Linked DNA regions of Coturnix japonica. The protein of the gene in region 1 interacts with the protein of each later gene in a pairwise test. Links are inferred from orthologs where the notes say so. Each region holds a gene or a part of one and is shown on either strand. Other genes may lie near its edges.

Region 1 (15,074 bases):
CCCATGTGAGCACACAAACCTGCCCTGCACCGACCTGATGCAGCGGGTGGCACAGCGGTGACTGACCTCCAGCATCCTTGTCCCCTCCTGCCCTCACCTACACCCTCCCATCCAGCCCAGCACTGCAGAGAGGCTGGAACAGCCCCAGGTGCCACAGTCCTGGGTCCCTTTGGCTCCAGTGCCAAAGGGGCAGCAGTTTAGGGAAGAACCCCCACCCCCCAAGCAGCCCCACAGCCATTCTGCCTTCTCCTTGGGGCAGATTCAGCACTGCTAATGCCAACACTTCCCTTTGCTCCTGGTAAAGCCGAGGTGTTGGCAATGCCAGCTCCAGCTGCCTCACTCAGGGCAAGCTCAGCACCAAACGATGCTCCTGTTTGATGGCAGGCACACAGAAGTGCAGCAGGGCAACTATTTGCAAGCGCTAAATTGCACCCTCCAAACCAATTCTGAGCTCTCCTCTGCTCCCCACAAGCCCCCCAAGGGGCACAGGGGGGTGGGCGCACTGTTCTCCCCCAGTGCTGGGGATGGGAGGTTGTATATCGATGTTTCTATGGCAACATTTCTTTCTTCCTCCTTTCTTTCAAGTGTTCATAACATCAATAAATACGCAGTGATCAATTTTACCCCTGTGCTGGAATGGGAGGGATGGGGAGCACAGATGGGACCTTTAACAGAGGTGGATCAGTGCACAGCCAAGGGCAAGGCAAGGAGCTGCCCTTCATCAGACATGGGACGAGCTGAGCTTCCACACATCCCCAGCACCAACACAGCTGCAATCGTGGGGAAAAAGTTATGCACAAATCATTGACCACATTTCCCATCTTATGACAAGGAACTGCTCAAAAAACAAGGCAGGATGACATTAAAGGGAAACTTAAAAGAGCCAACGTTGTAATTTCCAAGACACAAAAAGCAAAACAAAAACACAAACACAGCTATTTTTCCCCTAGAGCACTCTCACTTTCAAGCTCAATAGCCTTGAAAATTGGAGCAATCAAACTGTTAAATGCATCGATCTGTTAAATCAACTCCTACTGTACTTGGCTAAATTTAGCCTTTAATCCCCCTTTCACTCCCAACACGGCAGATCCCAGGGCTTTCCCCAGCTGGGTCAAATGACCTCTGCCTTCCCACGCCAGCAGAGCATCCCAGCATAGAGGGATGGATCTTCCTCTATTTGTGGGCAGATGGAGCTTCTCCATCTCAGCCCACAGGTATCCACCATCCTCAAGCCTTGATCCAGCCCCACACCACCACAGCCACAGCTCCTGCTGAGCTCTCATGCCCTGTGCCAGGGCTCAGAGTGCACCAGGGGTTGGTAAGAGGGTCTGAAATGGGGCAACCTGGGTATAGAACCCAAAACCACCACTGAGCAATTGCAGGGCTTTGGGTGCAGCGCTCTCACCTGCTCTCTCTTCCTTCCCATCCGGCTTTGTTCTTTGGCACCATGGTTGGATCAGATGATCTTTGTGGTCTTTCCAGCCTTAGCGATTCTATGATCTCAGTTAATTAAGGCAGAGCATCTCATTTCAGACACAGCTTGGCACTCAATACTAACCTCAGTGCTGCTCTGTCTGGATGCTCCTGTCCAAAGCCTGCCCTTCAGCACAGCTGCCATGCAAACGTTTGTTAGTAGACAAACACGGGCTTTCCTCAACACTGATTTATTTTTAAATACACTACGCAAGAGAGGCCAGAATAAAACAAAAAAAAGAAATGAATCAAAACGAAACAGAAAGCAGAGAAAGAGAGGAGGCGGAATCGTGTACAGCAACAACCTGTACTGAACCGAATGGAAGAGGAAACAACCCCCTGAAGAATCACAGAGATGAAGGACAGAGCTATTTACACACCGTAACAAAAACGAGCCTACAAAAGTGTGTAATAACGAGATACAAATGTATAATATAGTGGCACAATATGTTATCAAAGTAAAAACAGTACCTCCAGGAAAAGAGACAGTCCAAGGTGTTTTGTTTTCTCTTACAGTTTTTAAAGGCAGCCTGTGGCAGGAGTGTGTGGTTTCTCTGTTAAACGTTTGCCATGGGTTTTTGAAGTCAGGGCTGTTTGTGAGGGCGAGGAACGGCGTGAACACACAGAGTGAACTGCTGGAAACGATATACAAAAGGTCAGCTCCAAGGAGAACAGCATAAAATACAATTGAAGGCAATCAGTGTTTAAGATACACGAGAGGGGCCACAAGAGTTATGGGGAAACAGGACGTAGAAAATGTCAGGTTTTTTTTTTTTCCTCTTGTTTGGAACTGTTAAGAAGAGTTAAATTGCACTGTTAATAGCCCTAAACTTTGCTTTTTCACTATTGTCACAGGTCACAGTTAGTCCCCAGTCATGTTGCATCAGTTGGGAAGGTTACAGGGCCGTGGGCAGGAAGCCCATCCACCCTGCTGTCAGCATTTTGGGGCCGTTTCCTTGGGAGATCCACCAAAAGAGGCTGCCATCTTCACAGAACCTCATACGATGGGTGCAGCCACGCAGCCATGAAGGCAATGACAGTTCCAACCCCAAAGTACCGGCATCGAGCTCTCCACAGGGAGCTGGCACTGGCACATCAAGGGTAGGGCAGCGCTCTCAAAGGAGCACAGGAACCAGGCCCACAGAACAGAAAAGGCTGCAAATACAACTAGAGAAACAGCAGTTCTTGCCCATCTGTGACGGGCAAGCTCAACTGAAGACACTGCTGCAGGCACAGTGGTATCTTTGAAGTCGGCCCAAGCTATCCCCTCCTGTCACCCACGGAGCGATGCTTTGCTCAGCACAGCCTGATGATGCTCCCACACCTCCTCTGTCACCCCCTGCCCCAAGCACCAGCCTGAATAGCAGCAGCAGCGTCCTCCTTCAGCCCTCTGCCAGCCCTCAAGTGCTACCGTGGGGGATCTGCAAATGCTGCTGCATCAGTGGGTGCTGTCCGGAAGGGTTTGAACCCAGGCAGCTCAACTGGGCTCAACAGCATCAAGGAAAGGCTGAAAACATTGATATAAAGGGCAGCAGGTGGGATCATAGGAAGAATGTGAGTGAACACCACTGGTAGCATTCTATCATTTCTCAAAGTTACATTAACAACTTCCCCCCCCCTCCCCTCCTTCCTCTCTCAGGCTCCAAATCTATCGCATTACTGCCAGGTTCAATGTCAGACTCAGGCAAGGGATGCACGCTGCAGCTCTCCCAAGAAATGCAATAGGAAATATTGCTATTCAGACACTCAGCCGTGTGTACAGTGGGGCAGAACGCAGTAGGAAGTCCTCCTGAGGAGGATGGCATCTCAGTGTCCATCAGTCCGGCTTCAGCCTTAACGTTTAGTCCAGAACAATAAAATATTAATCAAAAGGCATGACGTGACATCAGCACTTAGACTTGTAGTCCACAAGGCAGGAACTCCACAGATAAGACGATTACAAGTATATGAAACACAGGGAATCTGGGCTAAGAGGGTGGAAAGTGCCTCTTGAACACAGCCCTGCTCTTTGGAGCTGGGGCATCCATCAACAGTCTGTGCGTCTTTGCACAGCCCGAACCCAAACGCCCCAGTCCTTGGTCAGTCCACACATGCTGTTCAATCTCTCCACAGTTGACTTTGGCCCACTGTGACTTTATTATTCTTTCCCAACCTGGTTTCTGCTACCTCTGAACGATGTCGCTGATTTCCTTGACGGAACTGAGCAGTTTGCTAAAGTCCTGCGTGGCCGCAGAGCCGCTGCCAGCCGTCGCCGGACAGATCTGAAGCTCCCGCAGGTTGTTCTCCAGCTTATTGATGGCCTCCCGAAAGGCAAATTTGTTCCTCATCTGCTGAATGGAGTCCACGTAGCTCACACAGAAGGTGTAGAGGTTCTTGCCGGCCTCCAGGACAGTGCTGTGGCTCGCCATTTGTTCTGAGTTCTTGCTAATGGCGAGCCGTAGAGCCTCGGTGCTTTCCAGCACCACCCCCTTAGTGATGGTGCCGCTGGCAATCCTCTCTGGGGGCTGACGGGTCTTCCGCAGAGAGACCCTGGTGGATATGAGAGGGATGAAGGCTGTAGATGATGGCTGGTCCCCCCCTGGGGCAGAGGGGACAGATGAGGAAGAGGCAGCTGAGGTTGCTGTGCTCATCAGCAGCTTTGTAGAGGACTGCGGCTTTGGTACAGAAGGGATCCCGAGCTTTTTCACACCTTCCCCCGACTGGTTTGGCTTGACAGCTTCACTGCTCACAGCATCTGCAACCTGAGTCAACTGTTTGGATTTAGGACCAGACACCACATCTGCTGCTGCTTCATGGCTGGGACTGTGAGATACTTTTCCAGGCTTGCCAACAGAGGATGAGGACAGTGGAACTGGAGGGGCTGGCTTCAGCTTTGATAACTTCCCTTTGTCCTTCCCTGCCAACTCAGAGGTCTGCTTGAGCCTCCTGAGCCGCGGCTCCTCAACAGAAGCTTTGCTGGCACCTGCAAATGCAGCAGAGTTGGGTTTGGCAGCAGAACCTTGGTCCATTGTCGCAGTGGTACCTAAGGCACTGGATTTGACTCCATCGTCCTTGTGCAGCACGCTGGAGGAGGGGGGGACGGCGGGTTGCCTACGGCCAAGTTTTGGAGTCAGAGTGGGAGGGCTGGAGCCAGGACTTGACTCCGCATCTTTGAACACATCATCAGTGGTCTCTTCATTTTTCTTAAGCAGCCGTGGAGGGGGGGTCACTGTCCCCCTGACAGCAATGTCAGTCTTGGTCTCATTTGCCCGCTTTCGAGGCAGTGCTGGCTTTTCACTTTTGTGCCCCCCAAAAGTGGAGGAATCAAACTGGCGTCCTGTGGACTGCAGATCCCGGGGCAGAGTCACTGATTTCCACTCCGTGTCCTTTGCACCGTGGGGCACACAGGAGGCTGAGCAGGACCTTAAGAAACGCTTGCTGGAGTTGGAACTGCTCTCCTCCTCCCCAGACACCCCCCGGCTGCTGCTCATTGTGCTGGACTTCTTCCGTAAGTGGGGAGACAAAAACCCAGAGTTCCCAGCAACAACCCCGTTGGTGACACCGGCCCCATTGCTTGGGGTTTGAAACTTAGAGGGGTCGGCTGCTTCTGTGGGAGGAGCAACGAAAGCTCCATTGCCAGCATCCCTGCACTCCTCCTCCCCACCCACCCTGCGGTCCGAGTGGCCGTCCATCTCTCGGAAGGAGCTGCTCCGCTTTGGAGGGGTGGGGGCAGTCTTCTTCTTCTTCTTGATAAGGGCACTGAAGAGGTTGGGCTTTTTGTCTTTTGGAAGCAGCCTCTCATCTTCATTCAAACTGCTCTCCAGGGCCACTCTCTCCTTCCGTGGCAGCAGAGGAGAAATAGCAGGTTCGTGGTCCAGAGGGTCTGCAAGGGAAAGAGAAGAGACTACTGAGCTTTGCTTCAGTACCCAGGACAAGCTGCTTTCTTCCACGATCTAAACCATTTCAGCACCTCCAAAAAAGGTGCAGGTTCTGAAAAGAAAACCACCAGGAATAATTCAAGTACAGCTACACAGAAGCCCAGACTGAATGTGATCCTTAATCCTCCACACACTCACCTGTGAGGTGGCCAGACTTGGCTGCCAAACTACATTCCCTGTAGGCTTCTGATTTAAACAGCAATATACAAACACAAACTGTTTATGTTCAGATTCCCATCCTTGCATCTAGAGACTTGTCTGAACTTCGTACTGAGAAGAAGATAAATACAATGATGCTGCTTCTTTTGGTCCCTGTGAGGTTGCTGCCTTTAGAACGTCTGACCCTCCGAATTAATAAGAAATCTATGTAATCCACCCTTGTTCTTTTAGCTTCTGATACTCCTAACCTCCTTCCCTGACGTCGCTCTTCATAGGGAATGGAAATAACTCTTTCACAAGCAAAACCAAGACATCCCTTGGCAGCTGAATGCCTCAGGTCACATCACCAGAAAGATCACCAGCTTAGCACAGTAGTGGAGGGAAGTGGGAATAACAGCCTCCTTCAGCAGGATTGCTCCAGAAGAAAACAGTGGGGTGACCCTTTCTCCACTTACAAGAGGTATTTAAAAATGAATAGTGGTTTATAATAAATTTATGCTGGGTCCTGCATGTCTCTGTATTTGACTGACTGGGGGTCTCATTCCAGGCCAGGCACTCAGATGGCATGCTAATTCAAGAGAGCAATGCCTTTAGGGCAGCATATACATTTAGAGCTCAAGTAGGTAGTAAGAAGGGAGACGAAGCAGACACATAGATCAAAAGAAGGCTGCTTCTCAGTCACATACTGGTGATCATCATGCTGAGGGTAGGATTTTGGTTGAGGAAGGAGTCAGAAGAAAAACAGTTTGGTACATAGGGAAAAGAGTATGATTCCAAAGGACTAAGTGCCACTGAACCATTCACATGTAAACTGAGGCAGACCTCAACAAACCAGCAGAGCTCCTACAGCACTTCAGACAGTGCTGTTCAGACACAGTGGGGCTTTGGAGACCCAGGGAAAACTAGTAGCTTTCATTAAGGACCAGCTTCCAGCCACTGGACTATGAGAACACTGACAACTAAACAGGAAATTGCAATGAAACATCTATAGGAAATATGTGTTTTTCCACAATAAAGACTGAAATAATACCCAGCATAATGTTAAAATCATATTGTTCCTGCTGCACTTGAATCTCTCAAAGTCCTTAAGTATTTAAATGAAGTTATTTTACTTCAAAGCTTACAAAACTAGGCAATTATACCTCCTGTATACAGCGGGCTGGATTTGCCATCGGTCTTTAACACTACATTGCATTAATTAAGTTATAACAAAAATAGTGAGCTCACTATTCAAATCTTTTTCCAATAGAAACAGAAGGCTCTTTGTTATTTTCATTAGCAAACAAGTCAATTCAGAAATCAGTACATTCTGTGAATAACTTTCTTTCCTGTTTCAGTCACCGTCACTTTTCCAGCATTTTACACTCCCTTTTGTGTGTGTGTTTTCCCCTTTCTTTATCGAGATGTACATTTGCTACTGAAAGATGTACCACTAGGTGAGTCTGGCGTCATCCAGAAAAGGTCACTCACAGGAATGGTCAGACAGGGCGTGTTTATCACACACTGCATTTTGTTTTTATCTTGCTGTTTTTCAAGCAAACTGGATACGAATCTACTGTATACATTCAGTGCCTCAGCACTGCGTTCATTACCTCAGAATGGAAGAGAAATGCTTGGAGAAACAGACTGAATAGAGTTTAATTTCATGGAAGATTCTGTAAATACCTCTTTGTCCCTTGCTGCAATTATATTTGGTACCTGCCAAGAGTAATACTCTTCAGTGCTCCAAGCACAAAACTGGTGTGATGGAACAGTGAAGAAACCTCCCTTATGGGGCTTGCTAAACCTGAGCAATCGTGCTGCTCTAAATTATGCAGTGTGGTAGTAAAGAGGCTTGAACACCGCAGATTACCCAGTGCTCAGATGTAGTGGGAGATCCCTCTGATAGCTCCTACCAGGGAATGGGAAGAGAATGTGACCAGAGAGCTGTGCTCAGGCTCTTGTCTATAGGGAGCTGTAGGCAATTGCCATTAAGTTAAAAGAACTCCAAGGAATTCTCTAAGCAACGGCAGGTATAGCGCCAACTGCTCAGCCAGCTATGGATTCACACTCCCAGATGCTCTATGTTTGTATCTGGTCCCAAGATTAACAGCCTGCCTTTCTGTAATAAATGATGAAAGGAGTTCTGAAAGCAGGAAGGCAAACTTAGCAGCCTGTCACCCAGAAATACAATGCTGATACATAAAGATGGCACCTGTTTTCAGACATGGCTTTTCCTAAGCAAAGACCTGAGCATGCCTTTTGTTTTTCCTATTATTTCCTGAAGGAATAATGACTTTAATTAAAACCTACCACATTCCCCTTGGCCTCGAGCGTGTGCAGTCTCCAAGCTCTCATTCGCATCTTTGCTTTCAGCAGCTCTCCTCGATGTTCGTGTCTTGGTTGGTAACTCTGGGGCCTGAAGGAAATTGCTCACTACACTCCTCATGCCCTTCTTTCCCAATTCCTTCTCCACCTCTGCAATGCACACAAGAAAAAAAGATTACTGTAATACATAGAATATAAAAAAACCAGAGCACTGCTCCGAGTTAATTGCACAAAACAAATGAAACAGCACAAAGAGGGAGATCCTTAGGGCTGGTCAGCCATTTGGCTATTTATAGTTAGACACGTGCCCTTGTTGAGCTACGTGCAGAGTTCAGGACACAGGCATCCCTTGTCCCTGGAACTGCCAGCCCCAAAGGGACCCAGACTTACCATCTGATATGCTGGACTCCTGAAACATCGTCTCAAACGCCTGATGGATCTCAGCGAAGGAAGGCCTGTCAGAGGGGCTCCACTGCCAGCCTGCAAAAACACCGGCACTGAGAACTTCCTACCAGCATTACACACCCATCACAGTACACGAGGAGGTGCCAACTATCACAGAACCCTTTTTATTAAATGGCCAAAAGAAAACACCAGCATGGAAACTTGGTGTGAATGGTGCTGGGCATCTGTAACCACCACTGAGCCAAAGTAAGGGCAGGCATGGAACATCTCGGGAAGGAAAAATACCACATAACAAGTCACGTACCAAGAGGCCACAGAGGAAAAGCAACACCTACTCCCTTAAGAAGCCTACCAGACTCCTGCCTCACCCCTGCAGCACAAGTTTATCTGTAAGCAGTCAGGGAAAAGGAGAAAAAAAACAGCAAATCTCTCCCCAAGGCCTACGAGCTCCCAGCAGGGAAGAATGGCTGGTTTCATAGTGCTTCCATCCTCTGGGGAAAGCAGCTCTAACCAAGCATCTCCACACAGCACTGCGTCTTCACTAGAACCAACAGAGAGTTTCTTGTATCTGGCTGGATGTGACCAGATCTGGCCACGTTCATTGCATTGCTGAAGAGCTACAAAGCAGTAATGGCATTTGCAAGGCTGAAGAACACTTACATGCTCTCATGAGCTCATACACTTTCTCAGGACAGCCTTCAGGGCGCTCCATCCTGTAGTCCTTCTCCAGCAGCTCATAGACTTGAGACAGGTCAATCCCAGGGTAAGGGGACATGCCATAGGTTGCAATTTCCCATAGCAGAACACCAAAGGCTGCAGTGGGTAGAAAAATAAAACAAACAAACTAAAATCAACAAACTTTATTTTCATCTTAAATTTGAGGAGACATTTAGTGGGAGTAGTCGCTAAACAGTGCTGCACACTTAAACCAGCTCTGAGTGGCTCAGACTCCATGCTCAGTGTTAGCTTCAATGTTAAAGCAGTGGAACAAGCCCCTTCGTCAGCACAGACAAGTCTCCTGCGATATGACAGAATAGAATTAGACTAATTTTGAATGTATCAGTTGTCTCAAACCTGAACGCCTTGAGATCCTTCAAGTCCTATTAAAGGCACAATTAAGAGACTTCACAGTGGATTAGCTGAAACTGTTTCACTGCAGCACTGCAGTCTCTCTCCCAGTTTGACAGCTCCTCTCATCTGCAGTCTCTCCCTAGAGGACTCGCGTGTTTTAATAGCTCAGTGTTTTTTGGGGTGCCCTTGTTTAGCTGCAGACTGGAAGGGAAGAGGGGGTCCCGCTGGTGAGAGATATTCAGTAGTTGCTACCAATGAGACCAAGTCTGCATGAGACATTTTGGTCATGGGGAAAGCTGAGCAGAAAAGGGGAGAGCACAAAGAGGTTCTTTAAACAGGAGAGGCATTCAAGTCCCCAGACTCAGCGGGGATGCAGGTCAGCACCGGGGTCGGGCAGCTAACCCAGGAGTCAGCCATGCAGAATAGACTCAACACCAGTTCAACAACCTGCATGTAATTGGTTCAGTCACCCTATTCTGGTCTTAAACTGAAGAGAAAGCGATTACAATTCTGCATAAGTAAGGAAATCACATCACATTACATGGTAACACCACCAAGGGCAATTTACATTAGACATTTCTGTGCACAATTTTCTTTGATTTCTGTCTGGAGGCAGCGAGGTGAAAAGCATCTAAACCCTGGCATGGCCAGCAGCAGCCGTGACCTCTGGGGACAGCCAGCTTGCTCTGATCAGATCCCAAAGTCCACCGCTCTGACTGTCACTCTGCAAGGTCACACCAACCCTAATTAAAGATACCCAATATCCCTTTCAGATCTTTCTTCCCAGAGCACTCCACTACTGAAGTACAAGGGCTCCCCGCAGCCACCCGGCGCGGCCAGCAGTGTCACACAGCAGCTCGGAGCAGAAGAAAAGCTTAGCTCAGCTCCCTCATCGCTAAAACGTTTTGGATCAGCCGTGCTCTAAGAGTTCCTTCAAAATAAAGCCTCTCTCTGCACCGTCTCCTCAAAACTCCAGAGAACTTCACTGCTGCTCCACCACCGTCTGATCTTTTAAACACATAGGAGATGCTCAGGGTAATGTTTTCAATGTACCCCTGGGATGAAGTCCTGCAAACTTCTATCGTGTATCACCGGGCACTTTTGAGGATCTGACCAATAGCTATGGAAGAGATATAAAACCCAAAGAAAGGCCGATAAAAAAAGAAGTAGAATGAGATTTTTCTGCAGTCAGATTTCATAGAATTTAGCTCCATTTAGCTAAGCCCAGTCTTATCACCAGCACCTCAGGGCTCTTCAATAACCATTTGTCATCAAATTTTCTCTCTGTTTCTGCTCATCTCATTCCAAAGATTATTCTTTTAAAATGCAGAAAGACGAGCTCGGAGCTATCACCAGACAGACAGATACACACATAATTTTTTAACATAAAATGAACCAGATCCTCACTTTTCTCCTTAAAGTAGTTTGAAAGTTCCTGGCGATAAAGCAATATATTGCTTCACAGTTCTGTGCCAGAGCTCCATCAAGTCAGCAGCACGGCTGCCCTCCAGCCCCATTTCATACAACTCTATAAACACCACAGTGTCCTTTGTTTTCATACTTGTCAATGACTCAAACACGTAAAGCCAGGTCTGCAGCCTCACTTCTCCACTCCAAGACCGACTTGGCAGAGATTAATTCCTGCACTCTGATACAACACAGCTCAGAGCAGGGAGCATTGCTCTCTCCTGAAACATTTCACAGCATCCTCATTTCACAGCCCTGGAAACGAAGGTTGTAAAAGACCATAATCTGAATTAATTTGTTCATGCAAATTCTTACCCCAGACATCAGACTTAATGGAGAACTTGTTGTAGGCCAGGCTCTCTGGTGCCGTCCATTTGATGGGGAATTTGGCCCCAGCGTGGGCAGTGTACGTGTCACCTGTCATCAACCTGCTCAGGCCAAAGTCTGCCACCTTCACCAAGTGGTTCTCCCCTACCAGGCAGTTTCTGGCAGCGAGGTCCCTAAAAACAAGAACAAAACCAAGCAATGAGAAGTCTGTCCTCTCACTTCTAGCAAGAGAGAGGAAATTTGCTGTTCCCAAAGAAGCCTGGGCCTGCACGTGATTATTCTGATCAGGGTATTACACAGAAATTATGCAGCTCTGCACACACATGGAAGAGGGAAAGTTATTTTCCATTCCGGCTTTGTAAGACTGTCAGCCCAACTTCTTTTTTTTTTTTTTTTTAAATGCAAAATGAAAGCTCCAAGAACCCCCTCACTTTCAATAAAAGCTGCCACCCTCAGGATAAAAATAATGTAAAGAAATGTCAGTGCTCAAGTTATCAATAGCTGAGGATGAGCGCTGAATTAAAGACGTCGCAGTGCCTCCCCTTCTTGCCCACCTTTCTAACACCTCCATCAACCCAATCACCACCGTTCACCCTTCAGAACTCCTCTCCCAGTCCCTGCTCAGAGGCAGCTTTAACTCCCAGCTGTGCCCTCCTCCCTCCCAAGTATCACATATCTTACAGCACCATGTTTTCTACCACCCTCCCCCCTAAAAAAGTCATTGGTGACCATACAGACGACTCAATGACAGCACCCACAAAAGCAGCAACCCCAGCTGCCTAGTGAGGAGGCAGAACAAAGCCTGTGTGGGCAGCTGCAGGACAGCAGTTTCTTCTTACCCTTTCAGCCCTACTCTTCAAACACGAGAGGTTTTGCCCTTCTCAAACTACCCCGGCCTCTGTTATCAGTACTTCTGTTTTCAGTAGACTGGATGATCAGCAGACTGAGCTTTTCCTCTGTTTTTTCACCTTGGCAGGTGAGAGATGCACACGTTGCATTTACCACCCCCCCGGCTCAAACATGCTGCCAGCACCCTCAGCACTGCATAGAAATGTAAAGCACAGAAATACATTTCTCCTAATACCAGGTTTCATTAAAAGCACTTTTTCAGATTATGTTACATTGAACTAAAAATTGATTCTACCAGAAAAGGTGAGATCTTCTTTAGATAGGAGGCAGACTCTGCTGTTTCTTTTGCTTGTTCTGCTCAATGGGAATAAATTAAGGGGGGGAAAAAGTACACCTTACTAGATGCCCATTATATTTTCACAATGTTTTTGAATGTATCTCCTTATCAATTCTGATTACTACAATGTATGTCTAAATAAAAGCTCCTCTTCATAATCAAATTCCTCCTCCTTCCTGATTCATTAAATGAGGTCACAGCCCAGCATTTGAATCTACGGATGTGAATGGTGACAACACTCTTAAAATAATTGGGTAGGTGGGTGTGGGGGTGGCTGATAAGGAAAAACGCTACTATTTATTTTAGATAAATGGGTCATCAGAAATAAGATGAATTGAAACGAACGGGAGAGCAGACGAACGGGATTCATACAAGGCAGATTTTAAAGCTCACTTCCTACAGGCAGAAGGGATGGAATACTTTCAACAGAGCAATTCAAAGGGTGGAAATTTTAATTGCAGCATCACCGTTTGCTTCAATGACTGACAGAAGCATTTAAACAGCTCTTTCAGGCAGCAAAAAGCAAGGCATGTCTGAGGAACACCTAGAACTTTACACGCGATCTTCATATTTCCCTCTATAAAAAAACATGTGCTAATTCTATATTCTAGCTAATTGGGCAGGAAAGGTCACACTGTGGCACAGAGAACATCTTGTATTGAACTCAGCAGCTCTCATCCCTCGCACAGGATGTGTCATTATATTGCTAGGAGGTCGCTCCTACAGACAAAGAATGCAAAGCTCTGGTCATAATTGCAGCACACTTAAAGGTCAGAGTCTTTGGGACTTTAAGGTTGCAAAGATACTTATTAAAGTCAAATAATCTGGACAATGGTGGACAATAATCTCTGCAGAGGAGGAAAAGTGTGAGATAAACAAGAATGGACACAGGGTGAGACGGCACTAAGAGGGTGGCTTTGCTGTGAGCACCCAGCAGTGTCACCCATCTGCAGCAGCCTTTAATGGCTGTTGAAATCAACAAAGAGGCCTATGTGAGCCACTAAGAACCTGTTACTTGAGGAAGCATTTATATTTAAAGCGTTTGATCAAACTGTAAAAGCACTGATACATCTTTAACCTACATCTGCTTCAAAAAAGGGAAAAAAATGGAGGAAAACCATTAGAAGACCATCCTATAAACAGGTCAACATACTGCATCAGAATACAGTAGATAGGGGCTGCAGCTGAAGGGAAGGCCACGACAACCTCAAAATACATCAGGTGGTGTTTTGTGCTTGAGATTCAGGAGCACTCGGTGCCCTTCGTACCTGTGGATGAAGTTTTTCTTCTCCAGGTACTCCATGGCTGAAGAGATCTGGGTTGCCATGTACAGCAGCACCACTGCATTGACCTCCTGCCTGTTGCACTCACGTAGATAATCCAGCAGATTCCCATATGTCATGAACTCCGTAATGATGTAGAAAGGAGGTTCCCGTGTGCACACCCCTATGGACCAAGATAAAGTTTCCTATGAACATTTGAGAGTATCAGTGACTCTTCCAGGCTGTCATCCCAGGCAACATATATCTCTAATGGCTGCAAAGAGGGGGGATTGTACAGAGAATGAGTTTTGCTTGGAACTGGTTAATAGAGGATTTTAATTTCCTGCTTCAGGCTCTGGCAACTTAAAACGTTAGGGAGACGAGATCATTAAAAATCATGTATTACCGGTACAAATTGTGAATTCTGCCAGACAATAAGTGCCTGTATTTAAAGCCTTGGTATGGTAAGCAGCTTATCTGCTCCTTAACATCCATATCACTGCACAAGGGTTTAGTTCAAATCCCCCTGCTTGGTATTTATCACTTACCTAATAATTGCACCAAGTTCGGATGCTTGATCTCCTTCATTACTGCAGCTTCTTTCAAGAACTCTTCCACCTCCATGGTATCCTCCTGCAGAACAATAGCAAAGCTTTGGCAAGGACAGCGTGCACAGAGGAGGGCACAAAAAGAACTGCAAAGTGACAGCACCAGCCACAGTTCTTTCAAGGCAGTTTTTCCCTGTAGCCACATCACAAAGCCAGGGAGTGAGGAACGTTTTTTGTTTTGTTGGGGCTTTTTCTTGTAGGGTTTTTAAAAACACATTTTTATCTTTCTTATTGTAAGGGAGCTTTTTTTGGGGGGTGAGAAAATCCATATCCCTTTTGTGAAGGGCCTCTCACAGGACCACTCAGGAGTTGAAAAGGAAAAAGCTCAGAGCGCCTGTTCCTAACAAGAAAAAAGAAACCCCACACGAAATCAACAGCACGGAAAGAAATGAAACAAGAAGAAAATCAAAAGGAAGGCTACAACCGAGCAAAGGTCTGAGCAACTGCTGAGATGCAAACCCCTGATTTTAGTGGGTCTAAGCGAGGAAACCCCACTGCAGAGAGAAGCACGGCTGATGGTGGGGGGGATTGAGAGCCTGAGGTTTCACAGATCTCATCCCTGGCATTTAGAGCCTGACCCATGACGCAATGGGTCTGGGCAGATGTGTCACTACCTATTTGTTGAGCACCCATAAAGTTGCTTGGCAAGACAGAAAGCTGAGGAAGATACGATCTTGCTCAGAAGATACAGATTCTGAAGCAAATATACCCCCACGGCCCGAAGGTCATTTCAAAGTGGTGCAAAAATACAGATCCATTCCTAAAGCAATGTTTCTTTCTAAATCCATATTTTTTTTTTCCATTGGTGGATTAATGTTGACAGCCTACATGGACGAAGTGTTTTAAGGAAGGATTGGAAAGGATTTACTGCTGCTGGTGAGAATGATAACAG
Region 2 (15,534 bases), on another chromosome or scaffold:
AGATTACATAGTTAGAAATGCTGTCACCGTATTTATATGCTGCTTGTGTGGATATTGTTTGGTTCCCCTTTGGGAGAAAATAAGCAAATAAACAGGGGAATTCATATGTTGATTATGCATGATTTGCAGGCTAACATTTCTCTTGATTGAATATGTTTTGGTGAATTACACACTAGTGATGAAATCATAGTATCATATTCTCTTGCCGGTATCTATTTCTTGCCCATTTATTAGCTTTTTTGACAAGAAAAAGTAGACAAACATAGAAATAAGTTACAATATCTATGAGAAATATAGAGAAGCAATAATAGGTTGTCTAGCTTTTTATTTCACACTAACTTAACAGTAAATTATTATTAACATAAGATATATCTCCATAAGATTTCTTTGCTAGCATTGCAATAAAATGTTTTATGTAACCTTTCAACATTGGCCAGGAAAGTAATTTTCAGAAGAAATATTTTCTAAAACTATGTACATAGTATAATTATTGTCAGTTGATTTAGCAAGCATTAAAGTACTTTATTCATTAGAAAAAAAAACCTATAAAATACGAAAGGTGAAGATCTTAATCAAGGAATATTCTGAAATCAGCCGGAAGATGAAATGAGTTCTGAGATACATGAAGTAGCTTCAGGGACATGACATAATGCAGAGTTGCTCTGAAGCAAAATAAGGACTTGTCAGCCAGTTGTAGGTGGTGTGTTGTAGCTCATAAAATCGTAGGCTGAAGCTTTTGCTTGTTATAACAGCTGCTTTTAAAAATATTCTAAAAATCCACAGCTTTTGCAGAATATCAGCTGCTCATCAATGTAACTGTTTTGTTAAAATATCTCAGATCTTCAAGGTGCTTTTTTGCCAGTCTGTTGTTTCTTTCTTTCTTTCTTTCTTTCTTGTTTCTTTAAAGCATTCATCTACCTTGCATGAAGTATTGGCCAGGATACATATTTTCTGTGTTCTGATATTCACAGCTACTGACAGAACCGGGTCGGTGTCATTTCGAATAATCTTCCTTGGTCCTCCATAATACTGGATAATACACGTAGTATTCTATAGATTTAGAAAGATATTATGTATTGAAAATCTGTAAATTAACAGGAAGCATCGTCAGTCAATCCACTGGCATTAGCATCAGTCTTCTCTATCATTTTGAGTTTAATTGTGAAACATCTGAAGAAAGCAGCTTTCCACTTTGAAGTCGCAGCATTAAGCTGAACATAGACAAGATGATAAATGTAAAAACAAAACAAAAAGCACAACCTTGGAAATAGAAATTAATAAAGGATAACATTTCAGATAAAGTGGATAAGGGAGGAGATGTCTGAGTGTCCACTCAGCTTCTCAGGTTACCTTCTTATCTGCTCAGAAGTGGAGAAACTCATTCTTTACATTTAGTTTGACAGTCCTGAAATTAAATGTGCCATGGAAAACTTCCCCAGGTTAAGCAGGCACAGTGTTTCTTTGGGTGTTCTCTGGAACGAGACAAAGGGAGATAACTGACTTGCACATGCTTAGTTGTTTCACAGCTGACTTGGGTGATAATACTGGGTTAGTATCATTATCTTCTGTACAAAGAACAACTGAACACAGTGAAAGAAGTAACTTGAGTTTTGCACTTAATAATAACCTTTCTATTCCTCCTTCCCTCACTATCCTGCTACATTGCTGTAGGTCAGTCACGACCCCTCTGTTTTTCATTCATCTGCTATTTATTTCAGGGAGTGTTGTGAGGCTCACCTGATAAATGCTGCATAACATCCAGAAATCCTTTAGTACGTATTGCTGTCTGAACTGCAAATATGATGAAATGAATTTTATTAGCAGATGACTGACAGTTACACTGCTCAGATGGCATCTGGTTAATTAAAAAGCTGTATATCCTTAGTCCAGGCATAGGCTGACAAGAAAGTATTCAAAAAATATAACTTAAGAATATTTAACATACGATATTCCTCTATGCAGCACATATTTAGAATGCAGTATGTGTATTTAATAAAGGATAATATATTTGTGAGAAAAATCTGTAAACAGCACTAGTAAGTATAGTCCATGGCTGTTCACTGCTACCATTCAACTTCAGCGGTAATATCCCCAAGATGTCAGATATTATTTTGCAGGTAGTGTTATTATGATCACACTGAAAGCAGCAGTCATTTACTCTTGTATTTTTCATGTAATGTATGTTAAACATTTGTCACTATCCTAGTTTCTTTAGAGATAACAAAAGTTACTTATTTTGTACTATCATAAATGCACACCATAAAAGGAGGAAATTCTGCACTGAGCCTGCACTGAACTGTTTCTGATTTCAGATCTTTTTGGTGGACACTCACATTTACCTCACTGTCTTCAGTGAAATATACCAAACAGATAAAATGTTTAGTACCAGTAATTATGAATATAACTATTTTTTTTCCTTATATAATTTTTCTCTCTTGAAATAGTGGTAGTGGAATCTTGTCTTCTTGAAAACAAGTAGAGCAGAAGTGAGATCCAATATATCTGCTGATTATCTCTGATTAGCAATATTGTTAGCAGTTACTGCAAGCTTTGGCAGTCAATCAGATATCTAATGTCTTTCTGTCTTACTTAGATAATGAATCTAAGGCATTTATGCTACTGCAGGGAAGGTTATTACTTTTGTGGTAACTGTATATCATGCCTTCTCTTTATTCACTTGTTCGTGAATATGTGTTGCATACATACTCAGAAATAACAGAAAAATTATTCTCAATAAAACCAAAGTGTTTCTCTTTTAGTCAAACCCCACTGTTTCTGACTTCCATTCTTTTTATATCAACTCTTGGAGTTTCTCTGCCATTATGGCCAGAAATGCAGCTTTATTAAATGTCACAGAGCTCATTAGATCCTTCTGTATTTCCATTAATCAGAGTCTACTTTAGTGGTTTGTATTGTAGCAACGTTATTTGCTGATCTGGGAGTCCAAGGCACATACTTACTGTGATCGTTTGGTGATGATCCTAAAATGACCGAAATGATTACTTCCACTGTACACAAAACAATAAACACTTTGTTTTTATAGTCTCACGAGACCAGCAGAACTATTTCGATTTTTCTACAGTATTTTTCCAGTCTGAGAATCCAACAATAGGGGCTCAAAATGCACGATCCAACAGCTGGAAGAGGTTCTTGAATTCTCTCTCCTCTTTCAGTCTTCCTGCTTTCATACCATGCACCATACAGAGATATATAGCTTCCATACTGATTTTAGACAGGAATAAGAAATAGCATGCACTATAGACAGTTTTAAAAAGTAAAATGTAGTGTGATACATTAGTCATAGTCATTGTTGAAATTACCAAACCACCCTACTGAACATGGCAGATAACTTGTAATATATGCCTATAGACATAGCCATGCTACAGAATTGAGGCTGCAGAAGGCAACACCTCTTTATGCATGAACTCTTCTAAGTTCACATTAGGATCATCAAGATCTAGGCTAAGAAACCTTTCAACAACAGCCTTGCATTTTTCCATCTGGTCTCCTTTGGCAGGATGATCAATACGTTTGATAGCTTTTCCATTGCGAATCAGTTCTGACACTTCCACTCCTCTTTCAATAATTTTGGCTGGCATTCCAGCTAGTGCAGCAATGTTGGCAGCATGACTAACAGTGGATACTCCTTGTTTGATCTGATAGAAAAACACCAACTCATCTCCATCTTGGTGGGTCTCCATGGCCAGATATTCCAGAAGAGGTGTGTCAGGCAAGAGTTCCAGCTGCATTAAGCTGTGAAAATTAGTGGAGACAAAGACCTGCGGACACTGGGTTCCTTGATTGATCCAATACTTCAGCACAGCAGCCAGAAGGGCCAGGCCATCTAGTGTGTTGGTTCCCTTGCCAAACTCATCAATAAGTACCAATGACCTCTCTGTAGCGTTGTTTACTGCCTTGGCAACCTGGTTAAGATCAATCATGAATGTGGAGAGTCCTACAGAAACTGATTCCCTAGTGTGGATTCTTGTGTAAATCCCATCAATTGCTCCTATCTCTGCCTCTGCTGCAGGCACGTAACTGCCGATTAGAGCCATAAATATTATAAGACCTACTTGCTTTAGGTAGATGCTCTTTCCAGACGAGTTGGGCCCAGTGATTATCTTTATTCGTCTGGTAGCCTCACCACTGTTCACAGGATTAGCCACAAATGTCTTTGCACATAGTTCCATCAGTGGATGTCTTCCGTCCTTGATGTGGAAGCCATGGCGCTGTGTAAAGCGTGGCCGGCAGTAAGAGTTCTCCCGGGCCATCACTGCCAAAGCCAACAGCACATCTAGGTGTGCAGTATACTCGATCACGCTGTTAAGCACTTCAGACCTCTCCAAGATCTTTGTCTGCAGCTGGTGCATAATAAGTGTTTCCTGGTCTCTTATCTCACAGTGCAAGTCACCCAGCAGGCTGTCTAGCTCCTTAGTTCTAGCACTTCTGTAGTGCAGTTTATCCTCGGACAAGAACATGAAGTCCAAGCCTTCAATTTCAAAGTCGCTTTTATCCACCATACTTGGTAGCCGTGGAATGGAGAGAAGGAACCCAATCAAAGGAATGTAGATCACACAACAGGAAGGAATATGGCTGTCCAACGTTTCCAGTTCTTTTTGTGCCACCTCAGTCAGAAAGTCTGACAGACCCATTAGCCTTCGCTTCTTTTCATCAATGGTGGGATCCACGTTGGGTCTAACAGTGAAGCGATTTTGTGAGACACTGCCTTCAAAGTCCACCACTTTGCTGATTAGACTAGCAATGTATTGCAGATCATCAGTGAAGACACGTGAAATAGTCTGAAAGAGTTCGATACTATGGGGAAGAGAGCGACATGTGTCTCTAAGGCACAGTGCACTATACACTGTTTTATAGAGTGCTTGCCAGTCGCTAACTTTCGTATGGGATAGAGTCATTCTTTTTAGAATAAGAGGCACATTTTTTATATTCCTGAGGCAATCCTGAAGGGTAAGGACTGTTTCATGGTTCTGAGCCAACAGGAAGAAGTGGATCACATCCAGCCTTTTATTTAGTTCTGTCAAGTTCCGAGTAGGTCGCGTAAGCCACAGCCTCAAAAGTTTTTCTCCCCGTTTGCACCTACAGCGATTTAAAATCCCATATAAACTGAATCCTTCCTTTAATCCACTAGAAAGCTTATACACAGAAGGATGGATATCACTTTTGAATATCTGCAGGACACAGTAAGTGTCTTGGTCTATATTCACAGTTTCTGACAGCACAAACTTTCTAAAGGCCAAAACAGGAACTACAATACTGCTTTCTTCCAATTCAACTCCAACCCTTCTCCTGTCCAGGTACTTAAGGAGCCCCCCTAATGCTCTGATCACGAGTGGGCTCTCAAAAGGGATGACTGAGGACAAATAAAGAATTTTTTCTGTAGCAGTCATATGGGATGGGATAAATGGAAATTGTCTAGATAGGATTCGTTGCTTGCTGACTTCCAGGCCAAAATCTATGTTAGGAAACAGGACAATTTCTATTTTTCCTTTATTGCTGTCACTGTCTGCTAGGTTGGTCAGGAAATTGGCAATATTCTGGTCCTGTTTTGCACTTGTCACTATGCATTTGGGATGAACTTCCCCAGTCACTTTTTGTAGTAGCTCGAGGCCTTCATTATCAGGTGTGTCAGGCATGAAGTAAACTGAGCAGTCTTCTGTATCATAGTAGGCGACTGCAAACTCCCCTGCATACCACAAGACAGACATATGTGTCTCAGAACACTCTTGCTCCTCTTCTTCAGGTGCAAGCAGTGGTGGCAAGGGGCAACTCGTGGCTGCTGTGGCACTCATTCTGTTGGAGAACAAAATTGTTATTCACAGCTCATCCAGAATATCCTGAGATCTAATTTTAATTGACAACAAGTTAATACTCATTATTCCAGGCCTGCAGAAACTAAGATGCTAACAGAAATTAAGGCCTGGTGTTACCAGTTCAGGTGAAAAGATGCAGCCAGTAACTATAGATGCATCTTGCTTTTAAGGAGACTGTAACTGAGCTACTAACAGCAATGTTGGAATCATATTATAGTGTTTTTTTCACGTGACTATTTTTTTTCTTAGGAAGTACTGTCACACCCTTTGAAGCTTTTGCAATGTTCACTGCACCATTCTGCTACAATCCACAGTGTGAGAAACTAAACCACCTTTAGGCACTGAGCTCAGAAGCTCAGACATAACAGGTATAACTTAAAGAATACCTGTCTTTAGGTTGTGTAGATTGGGATTAGGTCAGAGAGGCTGCAGAGACTCTGGTTTAGGAGATACTCAAACCCTGATGTTGTGATCCAGTGCAACCTGCTGCAGGCTACTGCTCTGAGCTAGGTTGATTGCTAGAGGTCCTTCCCAACCTCAGCAACTCTGATCTGCACCCAGCATTTCACTGAAGTGAGCTGTGCAGCTTTACCATATGCAAGCACAAGTACCCATAAATACAGTAGCGTACTCACACAAATGTACGTGCATACAAAACCATCTGCCCACAGAGGGAGGCCCACCCACACTGACCACAGTGCCTTACAAGACACAACCACATGGAATGGTCAGCTGGGCCTACCTGGGTATTTATGCATCTCCTTCTTCAGGAAGTGCCAATTTCTGTGCAAGTAGATGAAGGGATCAGCCAGTCTCCCCTACAGAGGCTACAGTCACAGTCAGCTCTCTGCCTCCAGCTCTTCTCCTCCTTACTCTCCACGCATCCTCCTCTCTCACCGTAGGACAGCTCACTGCAGCCGTGTGAAGGCCGCGACTTCCATCTCGGCCTCTTTCCCTTAGCCGGGCAGGAGTTTGGCTCCCGGCCTGTCAAGGAGGCCCCGCGCCGGGGCCGAACCGCTCCACTGTGCCCGCAGCGCCGCCGCTGGTCGCTGGGCTGGCAGCCCGGCCCTGTCCCGGTGCTGTGCGGGCCCTTCGCACGGCCGCGCCTCGCCACAGGCCTCTGCTCCCTGTGGTGCTGCCCAGGGGCCGGGTGTTTTCTGCCTCCCCACTGAGCACCGAAGTACGGCATATCATCGTAATCAAGTGTCTGTAGCTTTACCATGTGGGAACAGTTCCTCTTCTCCACTGATCCATACACACGTTTGTGTAAATGAATCATGACCTGCATTGTTACATTGTTTTGTCATCAGCTGCTCCAACTCACTACAAATATCATTCAGTTTTCCAAATATCTTCCAGTAATGTCTCAACAGCAAAACTCAGTTCCTGGCCATTTAGCATTTGATTCACTCATGACCGATCTGTTTTTGACAAGCACCATCCCAGCCCCTTGTGAAAGCTGTTTCTTATTGGAGCATGATGATCGTGATTTCTTCCATTGATCTCTCCCTCATTTTCTTCACCGAGTACTTGAGGCTTCACATTTTGACAAGAATCCTCCTGGCTGAAAAGGTCTTTCTTTAAATTACTGATGGAAGACTAAGCGTATTTCAAAGAACTGTCAGTCAGAGAGCACCAATTGATGATTTAGATTCAAAATAACGTTAGTATCTAAGAACTAATTTAGCCATAGAATATCATATTTTAAATAACAAATGAGTTTGGAATACACTTAGACTTGCAAGGAGATTGTGCACCCTAAATAGAAAACATGTACCACTAGATGTCATCATTTCAGAGATTAAGGAACTGGAAAGACATTTCTGACCTTGTTGAACAAGACTTCAAATGATAGAACCACATGTTCAGGTACTTAGAGAAACAAGGTTCTCCTGAAGTGAATTTTCATTGAAATAAAAACTGAGTAAAAATGCCTCCAATGAGCACATATTGCATGTGAGTAACTGTGAAGGGATTGCAAGAAATGAGTATGTGTACTGCTCGGATGAATGGATATAGTATAAAGCGATGTGGAAGCAGAGAGCATCTGTCTGTTTTAGGGCATCTGGTGGAGGACCTTTTCAGTGTGGAAGGGGATAATGAGAAAAGGAGAAAGCCAAAAACAGTGGCATATAGAGACACAAGCCTGACTAATGTGACTAAGGAGACAGCAACAAGAGCTAAACCTAGTCAGTCACAGTGATTGCTCTGAGTGTGTGGAGTATGGGAATACTTATTTCCATCAGATTGCCTAATAGAAGGCCTTGTCAAATGGGGTGATAAGGGGAAGAGGGAGGCCATAAACAAAACATGTAGAGACACAAAGCTGTCAGGCAAATGTAACACAAGTGAAACCAAGATGCAAACCTTGACAATGACACTAATTGGTGGGCTGCTAGGAAAGTACAGGCAAAACAGGACATTGCAACTGTTGGTTGTGTAAACCTTGAGAGTCCAGGATATTAAGAGAGTTGGCAGGACTGCAGACTGATGGAGGAATGTGCAGGTGAAGGGGAGAAACAAAGGACAGCAGCAAGTGCATCCATCACAGAGCCTATGTCCCTACAGCGCCAAGTCTGTTAGAAAAAAATATCAACCAGTACATTTTTTCCTGTTTGATGACATTGAAAACAACAAACTGCCCTTGACAAACATTTGAGATTTTTCTCTGTGATAACCTGCCTGGTGCTGATATGGAGAATAATTTACAGTTACATGTTCCATGAAGACTCTTGCAAACCATTTGAAATTAAAGCACTTGCCGTGTTGTGTATGCTACATGACTGAAGAGGGATGAGTAGAAAGGAGGTGTAATGACATTTTTAATCCTTTGTTTAAGTTCTGTAGTAGATAACTGCTTAGCTGAAACAGAATATTTGGCACAGCATTGGTTTAGTACTCTTCTTTCCTTTGGAAGCAAATTTCCATTCTAACAATATCTCTGGTTAAAATGAAAACTATAGGCATAAATGTGAAAATTCAGTCTTCTAGCAGAATCTGCAATTGAACTTTATATTAATATTTAAAGGTGAAAAAAATTGACTCGAGCCTTTACGAAGATTATAAAAGCCATTATTTTGGAGCTGAAATCCTGCATCGCTTTGATCTTTGCTCTATGTTGAAAAAGAAGCAACCCAACGGCTACTACTACTGTGAGTCCTCTGTTTTTCTTGGTAAGTACATCTTCATTTTCCTCTTTTATCAATGATGTCTATAATTTATCTATGATAAAAGCCATTCTTTCTGCACTGTATGTTTGGAAATTTTTGCAATAATATCTATGGAGTCTGACAGAAGTCTGTCCTTCAAGTCTTCGCTCTCCAGGCTCTCCAGGTACACTGTGTAGTGCTTCCTGATGACAACTAAAGCTTGTGGTTAACCATCCATCCCCTGTTCCATTCCTTATTTTAAAATGAGTGAGGGCTGCTCTTCTCTCTCTTGACTACAAAGGCAGTGCATGTAACCAAATTTGATTAGGCACAGTAATTACAGATGATGAAAGATAAGTGAAATGTCTCTGGTATGGGAGAGATGTGACCTCACTTACTCATATCTTGAGAGAATGTAAATGGTATAACAAACTTAATAGCTTCTCAGAGTACCATCAGTACTTCTGAAGTTGTACAGATACCTTGTGTAGATCATTTCAATGCCAGAAATTACATTTGTGTATTTGAACTTTCACATCTCAGTAGTTATTCTATGCATGACTTGTTACTTTTGCCACAAATCATATATAGCTGGCACTTCAAGTAGTATGCACGGAAGGTCTATGCACCGAGAGTCTATGGGATAAAAGCTCTGTCATAAACCTTTGTTAGTTCCCACTAGCTGATGGTAGAGCTTGGTTGAGACTGCTGTTAGTCATATCAGGAACATGACTTTAAATAGTCTAAGTGAAGACCTAGAAAATCTTTTGGATATTTACTTAAACACAGTCAACTCTTTCAACCTAGGTATGTACTGTGTAAATTATTATCTTGAAAGACACCATTCCCACACTTTGGAGGTCTTTAATGGGATGACAGGCAAGTAGTCATAGAGCAAAATTAAATTTTTTAATATTAACTGTAATTTTCCCCCCTTTCCTAATTAGGCAGGATCTTTATTTGTGCTGGGTCAGATGTGAATCTTAGAAGAGGTTTATAACAGAGATCATGGTCTTAGAAGGTCAACTTATGCTTCTTCTTTGTATACCGTTGATTTTATATTCTGGGTCATGTCAGTTTTAATGTAGTGGTGCTGGAAGACATGGAATACTGACATTCATGCCAAAAGCTCATGTGAAAACTTAACTTTGTATTTTCTTTAGAATGAGAAAATCAGAAATAGAGCAGAACTCTGTTTTGCATGTTGTTAATGAGCGGTGGTTCCTTTCCAACAAGAACATGGGCAGTCTTAAAAAAATGTTATTCAATCAAAGTCTTCATTTTGACATACTCAAGGAAAAAGAGTACATCTGTTCTTGTGCAGTTCCTCTAACAAGAAGAAAGAAATATAAAACATCTTTTACAGGTGTCCTCAACAACAAAATGCTTACTTAAAGACTACGATAAACTAATTTTCATATACATTGCAGCATTTTCCAGAGTTCTGGTAATAAGCAGAAATATTCTTAACAAAAATTGACCAGGGGGATATCAAACAAGCAAGTCAGTGGATATAACCTTTCCAACTTAAAAACATCCTAGCATTATTAATGAAAATATTCATGACCAAGGAATGATGGAATCCTCAGAAAGAGAGAATAAAATGTACATTAGGAAAATCTTTCAAGACTGCTGTCATCCCTTCTAGCTCAAACATCTTCATTGTAAGCAGTTCGAAAGGAAAGCCATAACTTCATATTTAAGGACCAAGAAATCTTAAAAAGAAGAAAAATTCTGCATATTCTGAAGATGCATCCTTAAAGACTAAGAAATTGTAATAAGATGGGAACTTTGCAAAGGTAGTGTGTCCATTCATCCTCAAATTCTGTAAAAAGGCACAGTGAGCAAAAAAGAAAACTGCTGATACAGGCATCTTTTCTGTCTGAGATGATTTCAGTGGAAAGCTACAACAACATAAGGCTTGAAATGGACAGAAATACATGGGATTAATTCATTATACTCCATTTTTTTCCCTAACAAAGACTATTATTTCATCACCATAAAAACTACACTGCGTTTGTATGCCTCATCTGCTGTTTTCCACCTACTCTTCAATTTCTGAAGTTGTTAATACTTCATGCTATGTCAAAACTAACCCTGTAGTGGAGAAGACAAAGGGCGTTTATGAGCAGCTACTACCATCTATTCAGTATCTGTTGTTTGGAGTAGATTTGCATAAACACTGCTACTAAAAGGTAGTGTTGTTTCCTGTACCCCATGTAGGGTGTGGTTGGTAACCGGCTTTGTGCCTTGTGGTACCTTGTTTCCCTATCCTCCAACACTGATGGTGGAAGTTCTTACTGGTCCTCAGGTCTGTCTTGAGTAATTATTATTAAACACAGCGCTTTCAGCACACCAAACACTTTGCAAATCCTAAATGTTATTTCGTGTTAATGTTTTTGTTTGCACTTGGGCCATCTTTGTTTGGATTTCCTGTTACAAAACAAACAGAAAATGTGGTGCAGATTAAAAAAAAATATATAGGATGGCTCTTTGAGTTAGCGACAACAATACTGCAAAGTCCAGATGAGTCAAAACCAAAATTAGATTCATTTATACATCTTTCTCTCTTACTATATGTAATATTTTTTACTTGTGTTATGGATGATTTATAGCTATGTCTATGTGTATATATCTCTCTAATACATAGGCATATGTTTGCACATCCAATTAGGTACTTATATATATTCAAATACTTAGAAAAAGGGAAGGTAAAAGATTATTTACCATGGTACAACATTTTCAACAGCCCGTAAACTGCTGACAGGATTAAAGTAAGGTTCAGCTACTCACAAATATCCTTCAGAATGTTTTGGAATTTGTATCTGATTAAGGAATGTGGTAAATAGCTCATTACAGATAAAAGCTCTTTAGAAGTATATTTGGTAGATATTGACAATATTATTTGGTATATTTATTTAAATCTCTGTACTTGTTGAACTTTTTGTGTTTGCAGCTTTTCAGAATGCTAAAATGAGACAGTCTTTCAGCTTTTGAGTATGTGTCTCATTAAATGTTTCTTAACAGCAGTGAATCAACTGGTATTCAAAGCAAGAATCAGATGCTTCTTTGGCTTTAACTGAGTTGCAACGTGATAATGCTGAAGGAATTTATGGGAAGTGTAATTTTCACAATCTGAACAGAATTCTCTCAATTGCTTTTATATGAGTACTGCATTTGGCTTTTTCTAGCTGTAATATTTGGGTATAGAATCATAGAATCGCCAAGCTTGGAAAAGACCTAAAAGATCATCCAGTCCAACCTTTCACCTATTACTAATAGCTTCCACCACTAAACCATGTCCCTCAACACAACATCCAATCGTTCCTTGAACACCCCCATGGTCAGTGACTCCACCACCTCCCTGGGCAGTCCATTCCAGTGCCTGACCACCCTTACTGAGAAGTAATATTTCCTAATGTCCAGCCGCAGCTTGAAACCATTCCCTCTGGTCCTATCACTAATGACACGAGAGAAGAAGCTGATCCCCAGCTCACTACAACCTCCCTTCAGGAAGTTATACAGAGCAATAAGGTCTCCCTTGAGCCTCCTCTTCTCCAGGCTGAGCATTCCCAGCTCCTTCAGCCGCTCCTCATATGGCCTGTTCTCCAGACCCCTCACCAGCTTTGTTGCCCTCCTTTGAACGTGTCCCAGGGCCTCAATGTCTTTTTTGCAGTGAGGGTAGATGTTCTTCAGTGACATGACATTAAGAAAATGGAGCTTTCTGATCCCCACTTTCCTCAGGCCCTCAGAGGGTCGATGCATCTTTCCAACATATATGCATCTTGCTTTTCTAGTTTTGTGTACATTAATACTTAGTTATCTAAAGGCAACAGTAGAGGAAAAATGGCTACATTTGAACAGAGTTCAAGACAATGTTTAATTTCAGAGAAGGAGGAACTATTTCAGTGAATTTTGAAAAAATCAGTATTTTAAGTATTTTTATATGTTTTAGAATATTATTTGAATAGGGGCTTTTGTTAATGTAGGTAGCTATGGCATTCAGATAGACGTGGGAGGGAATCAATGCAGTTCTATCAATGCATCAGAAATAGAAAAACTAACAAATTACAGACGGGAGCTATACCCAGCCCCTGTTCTTTCTGCAAACATGCACTCAAGCACTTCTGTTTTTCCTCAAAGTGCACAGAAAATGCCAAAGCAGTATTTACTTTTTGCTTCGTAGAGCTTGGCCAAATTTCAAGTTTCTGCATCTAATAAGATGAAAAGATCTAAAAAAGGGTCAGATGTAATGTTGGAAGAGAAATACAAATCGATGCTCAATAAAGGACTGCATACTGTCATTGCTATTGCTAAGAAATGCCACAACGCATACCAGGCTGGTAGCTGCACATTAAAAAAAAAAACACTTAAAAATAAAGGAAGCATTAAAGCTTGATAAAGACAGAGCTGGAACACCTGCTGAGATTTAACAGTATGCACAGCAGGTGAACAAGCTTTGATGGTATGTTACGGAGAAACATCCAATATCTTTAGCATAGATTATGGACACGTGCACCAGTTTTCTCTGCATCTGCATGTTAGCCCCACAGGGTATGTATTCAGAAGTTAGAATTTGATGTGACGGTGACAATGGGGTTGAAGCTTCATTCTCAAAGCAGAGATCAGTTTATTCTTTAAAGCAAATAGAACAGCCGGCCAGCACAAAGTGCTCCTGCAGACAACTCACTATGACACCTGTTGTATATCACCTCAAATCTGAAAGAACAGTGAATGCTGCACTGAGGTGAGCTTCTTGATATGTACTCCCTTAGCGGAATGATGGGTCAGTTCTTTATGTCACAGTAGAGATGTTCAGTTGCCATCTGGTCATCAAAGGGTTCATTATTACATTTTCTTATGTTAAGCATGACTTTGATATTAAGTATCCTGCTTAAATATTTTTCAAGATCTGTATATTAAGATTTTTGTAGACTTTTGTTTTGAAGAAAATGTATTTACAGTAATAAAATATAAAATTAAATTATATATACATCAAAGGAAACTTTCACATGCTAGGCTGTATTTATCCTGTAAACTGTGGTAAGGTTCTCCTGAGTGACTGGTAGTAAAGTTAAATGTGAGACTTCCTATGTGATATCTTTGAGACAGAAAATCCTCAACAGTTGTCTGTTCTTTAGTGGAAACCACTCAGGAGAACGCTCTCAATTTCTGCCCAACCAGAACTTATATGTTGGGACTGTGTGCCAGGCCAGGGGTTAAAGTACTATTAGAGCTCCACTTAACCCTTGCAATCTAGCAGTACCAACCTGGAAATTGAAATAGCAGGTGACAACCATTTAGTTGTTATGGATAAAAACGTAAGGATATGGTACAAAAATGCTGTTTTCAAATAATTCTTCAAACAGATGGGTATTTAAACAGCAGAGCATTGGTGTGTCAGTCTCTATTTCTCTGGAGCTATGTAGAAGGCAGGAGTCCAGTCTGCTTTCTGCAGTCTCTCTGAAGTGGAAGACACCTGCACAGTCATTCATCCCATCCTAAAACATATGTCAGACAGGCTAGAGCTAAGAGGTGTCTAATATGGGCAGTAAGTGAATCTAAGATAACACCATCTAAACAGTTGTATTTGATAATTAGTTTGCTGGTTAATTATATAGAGACAAAAATGCATAGATACTCAACTAAAGGATGCATTATATTTGTAAGGTTTGTGTTTGAGGGAGATCAATAATCTTATAAGCAGAACATGTTACAAACAACATATTCTTGCTGATGACTGTTCTTAGGCCATCAGAATTGTTTAAGTAACTTTTATAGGAGCCTCGGTTTAGGATGCAGTGGTGCACCTTATGCTTCCACATTACATTTTACAGTGCTAGCCAGGCTGCTGATTTGACCCAACTGTGATGGATTTTATTCATACAGCAATTAAACATTTTCTCACTTTGGAAACAGCAGTGGTAAACAAGTAAACGTTGGTTTGATTGTCCAGATTCTACATCCTTTAAAACGATGCATGTCTTTTGTTGATTTCTTTTACTCTCCATCATGGCATGGCATTGAATCACTTCTAAAATTCTGAATCATCCTTTGAATTTGCCTGTTATCTGTCCTTCTTCTTGTTCTGTAATTTCTGAATATTCCTATTCATATCGTTCCACTTCTTAATTTTTCTTTCCTTGATGATCTATTTATAGGCCAGCTTCTAATTTCTCTGCTGCATTAGGATGTGATTAACCATTCTTGTGTTTCTTGCATATCTCTGGCACACTTCCTAAATTTTAATTAGTAACAGCACTCGTACTGATAATGGATAAAAGTGTCTTGGGCAGCTTCACAGGGGCTATTTTTTAACATTTGTAATTAGTAATTCATTCACTGTTTGTGATGAGTTTTTCCACGGCTGCTACAGTTTTATGCATACAATATGCTAAACAGCTCTTTGCCTACATATCAAGCAACAGACATCATGGGTTAATTTGTAAATTCTTTCTTAAAATCACTATATGTTAGCAGTGTCATGTCATCAAATACTGACATATAATAGGGATTCCTTTAAGTGTGGCAGAGAAACACTCACATTTTATTTT

The links.
Region 2: the proteins of ABL1 (region 1) and MSH5 interact in binary tests that used the Homo sapiens proteins (3 or more experiments, as listed by UniProt). The link is inferred for Coturnix japonica from reciprocal best matches to the Homo sapiens genes ABL1 and MSH5.

The regions. Positions count from the first base shown.
Region 1 is NC_029532.1:4,612,579-4,627,652, reverse strand, and holds the end of ABL1 (tyrosine-protein kinase ABL1), read right to left. Parts: intron 14,208-15,074; coding exon 14,123-14,207; intron 13,759-14,122; coding exon 13,581-13,758; intron 11,300-13,580; coding exon 11,115-11,299; intron 9,075-11,114; coding exon 8,922-9,074; intron 8,337-8,921; coding exon 8,247-8,336; intron 8,007-8,246; coding exon 7,842-8,006; intron 5,336-7,841; coding exon 3,636-5,335; 3' UTR 1,881-3,635; downstream 1-1,880. UniProt on the Homo sapiens protein: Non-receptor tyrosine-protein kinase that plays a role in many key processes linked to cell growth and survival such as cytoskeleton remodeling in response to extracellular stimuli, cell motility and adhesion, receptor endocytosis, autophagy, DNA damage response and apoptosis.
Region 2 is NC_029518.1:52,062,241-52,077,774, reverse strand, and holds MSH5 (mutS protein homolog 5), read right to left. Parts: upstream 6,663-15,534; 5' UTR 6,574-6,662; intron 5,812-6,573; 5' UTR 5,811-5,811; coding exon 3,381-5,810; 3' UTR 2,961-3,380; intron 1,792-2,960; 3' UTR 1,738-1,791; intron 1,473-1,737; 3' UTR 1,351-1,472; exon of another isoform or gene 1,051-1,350; 3' UTR 741-1,050; downstream 1-740. Other genes in the region: AKAP7 (A-kinase anchoring protein 7), read left to right, coding at 8,860-9,004.